3 linked regions of the Saccharomyces cerevisiae S288C genome follow. The protein of the gene in region 3 interacts with the protein of the main gene of each other region in a biochemical or structural test. Each region holds a gene or a part of one and is shown on either strand. Other genes may lie near its edges.

Region 1 (5,296 bases), 450 kb from region 3:
AGGCGTTAGATAAAATTAAGGATAGCTTGACTTCCACTCCGTTTGCGATTCTTTCTATGAATGATATTATTGTTTGTGAGTGGAGCGAATTGGGTTCAAATGAGGCATTTTCCGATGATAAAATATATAACTGGGAAAATCCAGCTACTTTGCCTAACAAAGAGTTGGAGAACGCTAAGTTGGAAAGATCTAACGCTAAGGAAAGAACCATAACCTTGGACGATTGTCTCCAATTATTTTCCAAACCAGAAATACTAGGATTAACCGATTCGTGGTACTGCCCTACATGCAAGGAACATCGTCAGGCTACCAAACAAATACAACTTTGGAATACACCAGATATTCTGCTAATTCACCTTAAAAGGTTTGAAAGTCAAAGGTCTTTTAGCGATAAAATTGATGCCACGGTTAATTTCCCCATTACAGATTTGGATCTGTCGAGGTACGTTGTCTATAAAGATGATCCCAGAGGTTTAATCTATGACCTGTATGCAGTAGATAACCACTATGGTGGTTTGGGTGGTGGGCACTATACCGCGTACGTAAAGAATTTTGCCGACAATAAATGGTACTATTTTGATGATTCTCGAGTAACTGAAACTGCGCCAGAAAATAGTATAGCTGGATCGGCTTATTTGCTATTTTACATTCGCCGTCATAAAGATGGCAATGGATTAGGCAGCTCTAAACTACAGGAAATAATCCAAAAGTCACGCCACGGATATGATGAGCGTATCAAAAAGATATACGATGAACAGATGAAGTTGTATGAATTTAATAAGACTGACGAGGAGGAAGATGTTTCTGATGATATGATAGAATGTAATGAAGATGTGCAGGCCCCTGAATATAGTAATCGTAGTTTGGAGGTTGGGCATATTGAAACTCAGGACTGCAACGACGAAGATGACAATGATGATGGTGAGAGGACAAATTCAGGTAGGAGAAAGTTAAGATTGTTGAAAAAAGTCTACAAGAATAATTCAGGCTTGGGTTCATCGAGTACGTCTGAAATATCTGAGGGATGCCCAGAAAACGAAGTCGCTGATTTGAATTTAAAAAATGGTGTGACACTAGAATCGCCAGAATAATGACATGAGTTTATATGATAGATAAAATTAATAAATTTCCACATGTATAATACTTTTCAATCTTTTTCGCCTACTATTTACTGCCTAGGCTAATAAATTATATGTTTTTGTCCTGGGCGCGACATTCCAAAAAAAAAATAAAAAAGAAGAGAAAATACTGGCTTATGAATACAAAAATTACATAAACGAAGCAAAATGATTATTTCGAATAAAACAGTCTATATATAAGTCAAATACAAGATAGGAAGAAAAACAGAAAAAAACAAAACAGAAGGACTGGTTAATTGTTTTTGTTGATCTTCTTCTTACCACTAGCACTTCCACGTTTGTAAACCTCAATATAGAAAGAGATGAACAAAAACAAGTAGGATGTAAGAATGGCTGCACCAGCAGCAATAGCCGTCATTGAACCTAAGCAATCCTCACACTGTGGAGTACAAGCATTTTTGAAATATGCAGCAACAATCTTCTGATAAAGCACGTAATAAACGACAATGAGATCAAGCATGAACTGCACAATTTGTAGTCTTGTAACCCAGGCTTTCCACCAAACACGAATTCCGCTAGCAGAAAGGAAATAATACCAATACATAAGAACGTGAACAGCTAAGTTTAAGGTGACAGGAACCCATGTAACTGCTGTGTAACCAACCAATTGATTATAGCACAGTAAAGCTGTAGCACCATGATGGTATGTATGTAGGAAAGTCAACTTTCTATGTTTCAACACCATCAAGACAGTGTCTGCGAACTCCACAAACTTTGTCATATAGTTGAGATAATATAATGTCTCCATCGGTTGCGTCCACGATTCAACATTACAAACAGCAAAATACAGCCCATGGCGATACACTATGGGTAGCATCTGTTCCACCATCAAAATCAACCATAAAAAGGAAACAGAAGTCAACATCAAGTTATGGACTTGAGAAATAAATCTCAACTTGAGAGGTTTACATGACTTTACCAGGGACCTCCCGCCAAATATAACCACATAATACATGGCAATAAAAAGCAGTACCGGACGAGGTTCACTCAAAGGCTGCTTCCCAACGGTAAACTCAAAATCCTTTGGCTGGAAGCGACCTGCAGTGGCCCACCCAACCGCACGATTGAAATAGTCCCACAAATAAATATTAAAAAAAGGCCTATCTATTGTTGGGCGAAACCTAGAGGCTTTCTCGAGGCAAAAATTTTTCCAATCACTTACCATACTTGCTTGCAAATTTAGCTCTCAAGTTCCTTAAAATTGATAAGGTATCCTACCTTAATATTCATATCAGTTAGTCTTATATACTTCTACCTCTTTTTCTGGCTTCCTTTCTTTCCCTTATGTCCTTCGGTTTACTAATCCGTAAAGCCGACGCGGGTAAGCCAAGACCCTGAGTTTAGAACTAATATTTCGTCACGTCACGTAAGTGCAAGGTAATAAAAGCAGCAGAAATATCTGTAGTTTCAACAAAATATGTCTGGCTTGCGATTTGTTGTGTTTTGAAACTAGTTGCTAGTCTGCATTCCTTTGTTTTCCCTGAATTACCCAAAGAAGAAAGCGACGCGAGGCCTCACGCGTCGGAGTTTCCAGATCAGGAAATTACCCACTTAGGAAATTGAGTTGGCTGGCAGAAAAGATATAACGCCATCTTGAAAAATAGTATTAGTTAGTCTATTTTTTCATTTATATAGTAGAGGTATATTCTCTGGAAGAACAATTTTGGAATATTCAGAACACTGCGCTGCACTATTTTCATCAATAGTACCATATACGTTCATGTCAGCTATACCAATAACTCCAACTAAGCGTATCAGAAGAAATCTATTTGACGATGCTCCAGCAACGCCTCCACGACCTTTGAAAAGAAAAAAGTTGCAGTTCACAGATGTTACACCAGAATCATCCCCAGAAAAACTGCAGTTTGGCTCACAGTCTATTTTTTTGAGGACAAAGGCACTTTTGCAGAAGTCATCTGAGCTAGTCAACTTGAATAGCAGCGATGGTGCATTGCCAGCAAGAACAGCAGAGTACGAACAAGTTATGAATTTTTTGGCGAAGGCAATTTCTGAACACAGGTCCGATTCACTGTACATCACGGGTCCGCCTGGCACTGGCAAGACTGCCCAGCTTGATATGATTATAAGACAGAAGTTCCAGTCCCTCCCATTGTCGCTCTCCACGCCACGCTCGAAGGACGTGCTGAGACATACGAATCCGAACTTGCAGAATTTGTCCTGGTTTGAATTGCCCGATGGAAGGCTAGAATCCGTGGCGGTAACCAGTATTAATTGTATATCGTTGGGAGAGCCGTCCTCCATTTTCCAGAAGATTTTCGATTCCTTCCAAGATCTGAATGGCCCAACATTGCAAATAAAAAACATGCAGCATCTACAGAAGTTCTTAGAGCCTTATCATAAGAAAACTACGTTTGTGGTTGTGTTGGACGAGATGGACAGGCTATTGCATGCTAACACGAGCGAGACACAATCAGTTAGAACTATTCTTGAATTATTCCTTTTGGCGAAATTGCCTACTGTGAGTTTTGTGTTAATCGGTATGGCTAATAGTCTAGATATGAAAGATAGGTTTCTTTCCAGGTTAAATTTGGACAGAGGGTTGTTACCGCAAACTATAGTTTTTCAGCCATACACTGCTGAGCAAATGTATGAAATCGTCATTCAAAAAATGAGTAGTCTGCCCACTATTATCTTCCAACCGATGGCCATCAAATTCGCAGCAAAGAAGTGTGCTGGAAATACGGGTGACCTTCGAAAACTTTTTGATGTCTTAAGGGGAAGTATCGAAATCTATGAGTTAGAAAAGCGGTTTCTGCTTTCACCAACAAGAGGATCATTGAACTCTGCGCAAGTTCCTTTGACGCCAACTACTTCTCCGGTAAAGAAATCGTATCCAGAACCACAAGGTAAAATAGGCTTGAACTACATAGCCAAGGTCTTCTCAAAATTCGTGAACAATAATTCTACGAGAACGAGGATAGCCAAACTAAACATCCAGCAAAAATTAATTCTTTGCACCATAATTCAATCACTGAAGCTAAATTCCGATGCTACAATCGACGAATCGTTTGATCATTATATCAAAGCGATAACAAAAACTGATACTTTAGCACCATTGCAGAGAAATGAATTTTTGGAAATCTGTACAATTTTAGAAACTTGTGGGCTGGTTTCAATCAAAAAGACAAAGTGTAAAGGGAAAACCAAGAGATTTGTTGATAAGATTGATGTTGATCTCGACATGCGAGAATTTTATGATGAGATGACCAAAATTTCAATTTTGAAACCTTTCCTTCACTAGTCAGCTAATAGATTTATTTTTTCTTTTTTTTTTACAGTTCCACTTGCATCCCTCATTTTTCACATTCCTTTTTTTATAGAAAAGCATATCACTATATAAAAATTCTATTATAGTTGTAACAGCATAGCATATTATAGACTTTTTTTTTCTGGAAACGGTTAAACCGTTTGGCTGAGATGCAATGATATACGCAACATTGCATTCAAAGAAATTGCAAAAAAGACACAATAAAACGTAATTTGTACAAATATTTTACTATCATTAGCTACTGGATGCAGAATGGATGATTGTTAGGGGGAGGTGGGGTACAATTGTTTGTTTTTGATACATTTTCTCTTTCAAATCGCAACCAATTCACTCTGCTAATGTGATAACAATGGCGCCTGTCGGAAAGGTGAAAAAAAAAAAATGCAAACAAATAAATTGGCACGGTGTGACATATGCCTTCTATAATAATGAAGGAACTCGAAGAAAAAGGGGAAAACGATGTTTCAACAGCTGTCGGCATCCATTAGGCACAATGCACACATAATTTTTTTATGCATAAGTTGGTATTTTATTTCATCGTTGGCATCTCAGGTAACGAAGCAGGTACTAACGGTTTGCCCATTACCACTTTTTTTGGGTGAGTTTCAGTTCATTTATACTGCTGTGCTAGCATGGTTTACGTGTTATATTGCATATAGTTTCCCAGGATTCTATCGCATATTTCCTAATGGTACTTTTCCGGAATATTATATCGACGACAGAGAAACTAGCCGTGCAGCTAGGAAAGAATCAAAACTATCCTCCCTCATTATACCGCCCTCTAAACCAATCCTGCAAACAGTTCTACCTTTAGGTCTTTTCCAATTTGTAGGGAAATATTTTGGGCATACAGCTACCTCTTTGGTGC
Region 2 (5,296 bases), on a different chromosome or scaffold from region 3:
TCAGTGTTAACAGTTTCTAAGTGTTTCCAATGCTCTTGTGCCTTTAAAATTTTCCTAAACATCTTATTCAAAAAGGCCTGATCTGCTAACCTTGACTGCTCCTTAAGAGTTTGTGTTAAAGTTATCCATTGTTGGAACGAGCGAAATAGTAGCCAAGTATTCCTAAAACTTTCAGCTTCATCGTTGGCCATCTGTGAGTATTTTAATGTTTTATCACTCCAAATATAGAAGACGGCTTCCTGTACCCTCAGCTTTGCTTGATTTGCAAACCTGTTTGCCTCTTCATTCAATTCACATACAGTCTTCCAGTGATTAAAATGTCTTCTGATTTTGTTCTTAGCGTAGGTATATTCTGCAAGGGACAATGCAATGAATTTGTTGCGAGGGTGGATTAAAAATATTTCTAAAATCTCTTCTATAACAGAATTGAAAGTGAAAAAACCTTTCAGTTCATCTTCCAATATTGTGAAGTACTCATCGCGTAAAGGATTGATGCCTTCTTGAATAAGAATATTGACATAGTTTTTGAAAATTTGTAAAAAACTTCTGGATAGTTTGAAATGAACCAAAAAAGCTTCAATCTGGCGGTATAAATCTTCGATTACCTCAACGGATATATCATTCAAATCATATCGTAAACCATTCTTAGGAAGATCGGTAACGTCTTCATACTCCAGATTTGTCGAATCAACCGGTGGAGAAGGAAGATGGAACGGCGGGTCTTCGAAAAAGCCTTCAGTTTTATTTAATTCTATAGGCTTTAAAGCGTTAACAATATACCTTTCTGCGCCTCCATGAATTAGTGATTCGGTGGAATCCGTTATTTGCCCTTGCTTGATGAGTACATCAGTGGGAATATTAGTTGGAGATGTCTCGGGTACGAATTTATCACGCAGAAGATTCTCCGTTGATTTATTTGTCGTGCCGAATTTGCCCATAACCTAGCACATATAGGCAATAGATTGTGATTAATAGGCCACCTTTATTTTTTTGTTGCTGCCTTCTTGAGTTTCCCATTGCCAATCTTCGCGCATCATGGCACTATCTATTTATTTTACCTATACATAATATTACCCTCCATTCGATAATAATAATAATAATAGTTAACACAGAAAAATGATGAGATACAGGTAGACTGTTCATTACAAAAACGTGGTTCTATGGTTCTATATATGTATGGTTATTTATTTACTTATTTATCCGTGCATTCTTTATCTAAATTCCTCTCCAGACACATTTTTCTACCAGATCGTAACTCTTGGTGCTTTGAAACTTAATGAGACCCATGTTTTCAAAGGCGAAGATTGCTTGCATGAATAAAATTAGTGCTACTTTGTCAAATGCGTCCGGTGTTTCTGCTAGTTCTAAGAGTTTGGTGTTGGAGGGATCTTTTCTTATGAAATTTAATATTTCCTCTTTTGGTAATGTTTCTCTGAACGCAATGTAGAAATCGTAAATGTTGATAGTCATATTCGCCTCACGATAAAGCTTGAATAGCTGACCCAGTACCGGAGCCATTATTTTATCCAAATCTCCAGAAAGAGTATCATAATTTTCTTTATCAAGCGAAGGCAGCACCTGCTCCCAACTTAGTAAGTTATCTTCGATATTTGACTTGTAAGAAGGGAAAATCGACTGGGTAAGTAATCCACTTCTGTTGTCCAAAGTAAATAGCTCTTGAAAAATTGTATCAATGGGTTCAAAATGAAGCCGATCCTTATACTCTTTACATGCTGACCAACGATCTAGATAGGAGTCTAGTTTGCCAATAAGCAAATTATGATATAATTCTATCAGATTAAAATTGGTTATATTCAATTCTTCTTCGAGGAATCGAGCAACAAACTTAGCATGCCCGTTAATCGGGTTCTCTCTTACCAAAAACTCAACAAAAAACTCTTCTAGGCCTCTGTTTTTGTTTGTCAATAATGAAAGAATTTCGTCAGCAGGAGCATGCTGCTTTATAAGACCTTCGACAAAGAACATGAATGTAGGACATCTGCTCAGTATTTTTAAGTAGTCGTCGTTCAAAAAATCAACATTTACAGGGTCAATGAATACTGAAAAGGCATTCTGGAAAAAGTACGACATCAACGAATAATCCAGCATCTTCGTCAATAATTGTAAGTTGTGATTAGTATTATTTGCCATCTTGCTGAGAATGAATTCCACAAAACGATCTGAAAGATTTAGTTTGCCATCAACCGTATCCAAAAAGCTTTGAAAGATTTGGTTTCCGTACTTAAATCCTTTATTACTCGACACGTCTAGTTTATGATAATTTCTCTTCAGAAGTCGTATGGTTGATTGTCTCAAATTTTTCTCAATATTTGACAAGTTTGTATTAATATTAAAGATTAAACTTATTTTAACATGGTCATACTTGAAGGCACTTTTCAATAGAATTATGAAGTTATCCAATGTGTTGAAGTTAATAGAATCTACATCTTTAAAATTAAATACCATTGCTAAGTCTTTTCCAAAAAGCCTTTTGAAGTTTTCCACAAGTGACAGATCGTATGATACATCATTGTTTTGCTCGGTAAAATCGCCATCTTCATCGTTAATGTCTTCATACTTGATAGTTGGATGTTCTTCTGCATCAGCTGCGCTGTAAAGTTTGTACATAGACCTACGAAGCATCATTCTTACATTCGGAGATTCTTTCGGAGTCAATTCAATCAAAACGTTGTAGCGAGAAGATTCGTCTTTAAGTTCAATTTTTGTCGTACTATCTGAACCTAATAGGAAAATAGTGTTAAAGCATCGCCTTTTCTGAGTAGTTTCACTATATAAAAGGTCTGAAATCTCTGCTTTCAAGTCTGCTTCAATATTATCGATAATATGATCTACTTGATCATGAAAGTGGGAATGTAACTGATGATACAATTCCCATCTTTTTTCCACGTTCACTTCCGATTCTTTGCCTGATAGAAGTTTGACAAAGGGAATGTGTTTATCATTTTTGTTACTTTGAGGCAAACTGGGGTATACTGTATAGTGGCTCCTTTGGGCGTCAGCAAACTCGCTGACGTTCATCTTTTTGGATTGGTTAAGGTCGCTCATCCTGTTGGACTACTCTTGTGATACTACGACTCTGTATGTAAACAATGCCATCTTTTGTCACTTTTCTTTTTCTTCAAATTACGGTGCGGAAAAATACGTCAGTAAATATCAAAAAGACACTAAAAAAGGCGTTAGTGGTAATGGAAGGTAAAAAAAATTCTTACCATCTAACAGAATGCTTAGTTCCATTATCATCACGTGTAGCGTTTCTGCTGGTCTTACTAAATATAAAGATAATAAAACAGCAGGTAATGAAACATTACTCTTGTGAAATTGTCAAGCCTGTCTCGTAACGCAACCAACGACAACCCTTCATCTCCAGTATAGTTTCAAGTTTCTGGAAAAGATTGTCTTTTCCACCTTTTTTTATTTTTTTTTCCTATTAAAAAAAAAGCTATTCTACAAAAAATTCTTTATGACACAAATTATAGCGTGTTTAAAAATTAAACAAATGTGCAAAGTATATTCACAGTAGACAAACTTCAGGAACTCTTTTTCAAAAACAAGAAAAAGACTTACCAAGAAGATGAATGCTACTAAAGAACTGACTTTTAATTTACTGAATAAATTTCAAGACAAAGAAAGATTTGGATCTGCGCAAAGACATGCTGGAATCTCACTAAAAGGGTTCATATCTGGTATATTGTTTTCTTTTTTGTACTTTTTATTTCAGCTGTCACTCTTTATTATTTTAAGATCAAGATTCAAGACTATATATCAGGCCAATGTCGTTCTGAAAATCCATCCAGGTTCTAAAGTTTGTTTTGCTAAGAAAAAAATAAAAAATTATTGGTCATTATTTGCATTTCTCAAGCAACTTCCCGGAAGAATGTTAGATCCTATGGAAAAATTCGAACGAAACGAAAGGTATGGCCTAGACAATTATCTATTTTTACGGTTTCTCAAACTTTTGATATTCTTTTTTGCAGTGTTATCAATTATCAACATTCCAATACTAATTCCAATCCATTATTTTTCCAGGGATATTTTGAAAGAAAATGAAGGTGAACGTTATGAGCAAAGTTTCAGGACGACAAGTAAACTTGACAAGTGGACCATGTCAAATCTATCACCTAATTCATCGAATACTTTAATCTGTCACTTGTTTTTGAGTATCTTTGTTGTACTCTGGTTTCACTTCATTCTTTCTTCGGAACTGAGGTTCGTTAATCGACTAGGATATTCCGTTTTGACGAAAAGTAAATACCAAAACATTCTATATTTGGAAGGATTCTCAAGTAAATTGGTTACCCAAAGTATTTCTTTAGAAACTTTTTTTCAGCCGCTACACAGTGATTGCTTTGGCGTGACGCATTTCATTCCAAAAAATTTGAAGAAAGTCCACAAATTAGAAATAAAGTTAAATAAATTACAAAAATCAAAAGAACAAATTATCTTTGAGATTATTTTAGAGAAATATTTTAGAAGAGTTTCAATACACAGGCATTTGATAGCAAATCACAAAAGATTTTTCTTTTCAAAGTTGAAAAACCATCTATTATTTCAGTACAAAAAATTGGTATTTTTAACTCAATTTAGAATTTCATACTATTGCACAAAAATTCGTCTGCGCTGGAAAAAGTCAAGCATCTTTCCGTTATATTACCCTAAACTGTATGTAAATACAGAAACAATATTAGAAAGGAAATACAGAATCCTTGATAAAATAATACGCAAGGAAAAACTCATTAAATTCCAAGTAAATTCCTTGAAAGCAACTTCAGAAACCAAGCAGGCACTGCCCGACGATTTATCGTCGGGCACAGACATTTATATGGATAAGATGTTCATTACCTTCAAGTCCACATTATTGTCAAACGTTATAGGTGAGTTGCTTTCGTATAGACTACCCACCCAAAATTTAAAAGTAATAATAGGCCCCAATGTTAATGACATTATTTGGAGAAATATCCTCGATTCATCACCCCTTTGGAAAAGTGCCAAATATTTCTCGGCAAATATATTGCGAATTTTTGTGATTATAGGCTGGATTTTGCCTGTCGCGTTCCTTGGGTTAATATCACAAATACCAAATATTTCCTCACTAATACCGTTTACAAAAATAATTCATTTCCAATCTCCATTTATAAGAGAAGTGGCAAAGAATTTGATTCCAATAGTAACCTTAATAATAATAATAGAAATCGTACCCTACTTTTTCCGTTGGCTGAGTTACCTTCGAGGGTTGAAAACTGGAGCGCAAATAGAAGCTGATGTCCAGAATTGGTAT
Region 3 (5,296 bases):
GACAAGACAGCACCTTGCACAGCAGCACCAATGGCAACAGCTTCATCTGGGTTGACGGCCTTAGATGGGTCCTTACCAAACAAAGATTTAACGGTTTCGACAACCTTAGGCATTCTGGACATACCACCGACCAATAAGACTTCAGATATGTCTGAAGTAGACAAACCGGCGTCTTTCAAAGCCTTCTTGACTGGGTCGACAGTTCTCTTAACTAGTGGGGCTGTCAAAGTCTCGAATTGAGCCCTGGAGAACTTCATGTTGATATGCTTTGGACCTGAGGCATCAGCAGTGATAAATGGCAGGTTGATTTCAGTGGAAACGGTAGAAGATAGCTCAATCTTAGCCTTTTCAGCAGCTTCTCTAATTCTTTGGATAGCCATACGGTCATTTTCCAAATCAATACCAGTTTCGGTCTTGAAACGAGAAACAATCTCTCTCAACAAATAGATGTCGAAATCTTCACCACCCAAATGAGTGTCACCGTTAGTGGACTTAACTTCAAAAACACCGTTGTCAATATCTAAGATGGAGATATCGAAAGTACCACCACCCAAATCGAAAACGGCAACAACTTTAGAGTCGGATTTTTCCAAACCGTAAGCTAAGGCAGCGGCGGTTGGTTCATTGACGACACGTAAAACGTTCAAACCAACAATTTGGCCTGCGTCTTTAGTAGCTTGTCTTTGAGAGTCGTTGAAATAAGCTGGGACAGTGACAACAGCATTCTTAACTGGCTTACCCAAGTAGGCCTCAGCTGTTTCCTTCATCTTGTTCAAGACGAACCCACCGATTTGGGCTGGTGAGTAAGTTTGACCTCTGGCCTCAACCCAAGCATCCCCGTTGGAGTGCTTGACGATCTTGTATGGAACTTGCTTGATATCTCTTTGCACTTCAGCGTCTTCGAAACGACGACCAATCAAACGCTTGGTAGCAAATAGGGTGTTTTCTGGGTTCACTACGGCTTGACGCTTGGCTGGAATACCAACCAAACGTTCTCCCTCTTTAGTGAAAGCTACTACAGAAGGAGTAGTTCTGGAACCTTCGGCGTTTTCAATAATTTTTGGAACTTTACCTTCCATAATGGCAACCGCAGAGTTGGTGGTACCCAAATCGATACCGATGACGGAACCTTGAACCTTGGTTGACTGCAAACGTGTGGCAATACGGAAAGAGCTAGACAAGCTTGACCTGTTTAGTATGTTTTTAGCAGCAAGCATCTTGGTGCGTATAATATGAGATTTGTGTAGTCTTAATTATATTAAATGGGTCGTAAATACAAAAGTTGTCACTCTGGCAAAGGTTGGTGAGCAGCGGGGCGTCGATATGTACAGCAGGCAGAGGAGGACAGCAACGTATGGAGTTTTCAAACGTGGAACAAAGAACCCAAAAGTTCCCAAGCGTCGAGCCGGCGTTGGATCGTTCGTTTTTATACACCGCACCGTAAGCGGTCACCGGAAAAAGAGGCAGGGGGCGGTGGAACCGGGCCGAAGCCCATGGAAAAGCTCTGCCGTTGTGGGTGATATACAATTATTCAGCGCATCTAAGGCACTAGCTTTAGCACATTGTACCATTGCGATGATGCGGAAGAGTTTAATATAAGCAGATGTTAGTTGCGGTAGTTGGTATCATGACAGTGAGCTGAACTACGTAGCGTCGTGATTTATGAGTGGCACAGCTAATAGTAGGAGGAAGGAGGTTTTGCGCGTGCCTGTGATAGATTTGAATAGAGTTTCAGATGAAGAGCAGCTGTTGCCGGTGGTGAGGGCAATTTTGCTACAGCATGACACCTTTCTGTTAAAAAATTATGCTAACAAGGCTGTTCTAGATGCACTACTAGCGGGGCTCACGACAAAGGACCTGCCTGACACGAGTCAAGGTTTTGATGCGAACTTTACGGGTACATTACCGCTAGAAGATGATGTTTGGCTGGAGCAGTACATATTTGACACTGATCCTCAATTACGCTTCGATCGGAAGTGCAGGAATGAGTCACTGTGCTCCATATATAGTAGGCTGTTCAAACTGGGTCTGTTTTTCGCCCAACTGTGTGTGAAAAGTGTGGTTTCTAGCGCAGAATTGCAAGACTGTATCAGCACCTCTCATTATGCGACTAAGCTGACCCGTTATTTCAATGATAATGGTAGTACACACGATGGTGCAGATGCAGGTGCTACCGTGCTGCCCACTGGCGACGATTTCCAGTACCTGTTTGAAAGGGACTATGTTACTTTTCTTCCGACGGGCGTGTTGACCATCTTCCCCTGTGCCAAGGCTATAAGGTACAAGCCATCGACTATGGCGACGACGGACAATTCTTGGGTGAGTATTGATGAACCCGATTGTCTTCTGTTCCACACGGGGACCCTCCTTGCGCGCTGGTCTCAAGGTATGCACACTACCTCACCACTCCAGATAGATCCTCGTGCGAACATTGTTTCGTTGACCATCTGGCCTCCACTTACTACGCCAATCTCGAGTAAAGGAGAGGGTACGATTGCCAATCATTTGTTGGAGCAACAAATTAAGGCTTTCCCAAAAGTCGCTCAGCAATACTACCCACGGGAGCTTAGTATTCTAAGACTCCAAGACGCAATGAAGTTTGTTAAGGAGTTGTTTACTGTTTGCGAGACTGTATTGTCTTTAAACGCTCTTTCCAGATCCACGGGCGTCCCACCAGAGCTGCACGTTTTGTTACCCCAGATATCCAGCATGATGAAAAGGAAAATAGTGCAGGATGATATTTTGAAGTTATTGACCATTTGGTCTGATGCATACGTAGTGGAACTGAACTCTAGAGGGGAGCTGACCATGAATCTACCCAAAAGAGACAATCTAACAACGTTGACCAATAAGTCTAGGACTTTGGCATTCGTGGAAAGGGCAGAGTCGTGGTACCAACAAGTGATAGCTTCCAAGGATGAGATTATGACTGATGTACCCGCTTTCAAAATAAATAAAAGAAGGTCCAGCTCTAATTCTAAAACAGTCTTGAGCAGTAAAGTGCAAACGAAGAGCTCTAATGCTAATGCCTTGAATAACTCAAGATATTTGGCGAATAGTAAGGAAAATTTCATGTACAAAGAGAAGATGCCTGATTCGCAAGCAAACCTTATGGACAGACTGCGTGAAAGAGAGAGACGTTCGGCCGCATTGCTTTCTCAAAGGCAAAAACGTTACCAGCAGTTTCTAGCGATGAAAATGACTCAGGTATTTGATATTCTTTTTTCGCTGACCAGGGGCCAGCCTTATACAGAGACATATCTAAGCTCGCTAATCGTAGATAGTTTACAAGATAGTAATAATCCTATCGGTACAAAAGAAGCAAGTGAAATTTTAGCTGGGCTACAAGGTATCCTACCAATGGACATATCTGTTCATCAAGTGGATGGTGGGTTAAAAGTTTATAGATGGAACAGTTTGGATAAAAACAGATTTTCTAAGCTGTTGCAAATCCACAAATCAAAACAACAAGATTGAAGAATATTTTTAGATATAAGGTAGAATACGTACATTTACGGTAAAAAAAAAAAAAAAAGAAAAAAAATTGATCTTGATACATACGTTGGTATTTTACTTTGAAGACTGTGCATTGTGTATGTACGAAAAGAAAGGGAAATAAAAAATAACGACAACTGCAGGACTCGAACCTGCGCGGGCAAAGCCCAAAAGATTTCTAATCTTTCGCCTTAACCACTCGGCCAAGTTGCCTTTAATCTCTTGAGTTTGTTTAAGGACAACACTGTCCACCTGGCATGGGAATATTACCATTATTCCAGATTCGGGCTTGTTATTAGGACTTTTTACCAGCTTGATTTACCGGTCATTACTTATCCTACACATCATACATCACAACTACACTTGGTGAAGAAATCACAGAGCCTTGGATTTGTAACAATTATATGTTTACGCAATTTATCTTGGGAAAGCAGGGCCTCATTTGTGGACATAGCACGGTCTGTCACCCTCGTCGTGCAAAAAATATTTTGACTTCTACTCTTTTTGAAGTTTCGTTGATCGGGTCCCTTCCAAGGAAAAGTCGAATGCTGTCACTGCGCATATAAAGGCGAGAACGATAGTGACTGTGATATTAAGTTATTGTCATCATATAAGTAATTTTTTCTCTGATATCTGTAGCCCTAGTTTTTAATATTTTCGTAAAATGCTCAAAAAAATTTCTGTTTAAATTCTTCTGGGGTATATACACATGTTCCCGTCAGCTAAATTAAAAAGAAGAAGGAACCGAAAGAAGGCAAATTATAAAGTAATCATCCTCGGCATATTGAGGGGAAAATATCCGTCAAAAAAAAAAGTTCTGCACGTCGTCATAAGTGACTATGGTATCAAACACCAATTAACACGAACGTAGCGATAATGAAGGCAACTTCGTAGCTGAAACAGAACGAAGTTAGTTAGGATGAATAATTATGATTATGATTATTATAATATTATATAAAATGTATAAATAAGATTTCTAGATCAAAAAAACATCGCGTATTTTGTAAGCTATAGAAATCTAAAATATCTAATCAGATCTTGGAGCTTCCTTGAAGGAGATGGCAGCTTCTTCACCCATGGCAGAAATGATAGTGACCATCAAATCCTTACCTTCATCGAAAGCAGCTTGCATGCTGTCACCCAATTCACCTTCTGGTGCCTTGACATCGTCTTTGGTTTCACCGTCCATGGTCATCAAGGACAAGTAGCCATCATCAATATCCAACAATTGGTATTCGCTTCTCTTGACAAATGGAACTTCCAAGTTGTGAGTGGATGGAGACAAATCTTCCAACTTCTTACCAGTGAAGATATCAAGGGTAACCAAATGGACCTTGGCGTGACCGTGCTTACCGGTCTTGGAAGTGGACATGTCGACAATCTTACATGGTCTACCTTTGATGACAACGAAACCATTCTTTCTCAAGGCAGAACATTGCATTGGGTAGGTGGCGGAGGCACCAGCGTCAGCATTTTCAAAGGTGTGTTCTTCGTCAGACATGTTTTAGTGTGTGAATGAAATAGGTGTATGTTTTCTTTTTGCTAGACAATAATTAGGAACAAGGTAAGGGAACTAAAGTGTAGAATAAGATTAAAAAAGAAGAACAAGTTGAAAAGGCAAGTTGAAATTTCAAGAAAAAAGTCAATTGAAGTACAGTAAATTGACCTGAATATATCTGAGTTCCGACAACAATGAGTTTACCAAAGAGAACAATGGAATAGGAAACTTTGAACGAAGAAAGGAAAGCAGGAAAGGAAAAAATTTTTAGGCTCGAGAACAATAGGGCGAAAAAACAGGCAA

Evidence for each region.
Region 1: the proteins of TAH11 (region 3) and CDC6 form a complex in vitro, tested with the Saccharomyces cerevisiae proteins (2 studies listed by BioGRID).
Region 2: the proteins of TAH11 (region 3) and ORC3 form a complex in vitro, tested with the Saccharomyces cerevisiae proteins (one study listed by BioGRID).

Annotation. Positions count from the first base shown.
Region 1 is NC_001142.9:66,479-71,774, forward strand, and holds CDC6 (AAA family ATPase CDC6), read left to right. Parts: upstream 1-2,859; coding exon 2,860-4,401; downstream 4,402-5,296. Other genes in the region: putative ubiquitin-specific protease UBP12, read left to right, coding at 1-1,091; fatty acid elongase ELO1, read right to left, coding at 1,372-2,304; YJL193W (uncharacterized protein), read left to right, coding at 4,888-5,296. UniProt on the Saccharomyces cerevisiae protein: Plays a crucial role in forming the pre-replicative complexes.
Region 2 is NC_001144.5:138,843-144,138, reverse strand, and holds ORC3 (origin recognition complex subunit 3), read right to left. Parts: upstream 3,067-5,296; coding exon 1,216-3,066; downstream 1-1,215. Other genes in the region: SFI1 (Sfi1p), read right to left, coding at 1-938; SPO75 (Spo75p), read left to right, coding at 3,593-5,296. UniProt on the Saccharomyces cerevisiae protein: Component of the origin recognition complex (ORC) that binds origins of replication. It has a role in both chromosomal replication and mating type transcriptional silencing. Binds to the ARS consensus sequence (ACS) of origins of replication.
Region 3 is NC_001142.9:520,386-525,681, forward strand, and holds TAH11 (Tah11p), read left to right. Parts: upstream 1-1,662; coding exon 1,663-3,477; downstream 3,478-5,296. Other genes in the region: Hsp70 family ATPase SSC1, read right to left, coding at 1-1,217; ANB1 (translation elongation factor eIF-5A), read right to left, coding at 4,523-4,996. UniProt on the Saccharomyces cerevisiae protein: DNA replication licensing factor, required for pre-replication complex assembly. Faithful duplication of the genetic material requires 'once per cell cycle' DNA replication initiation and elongation.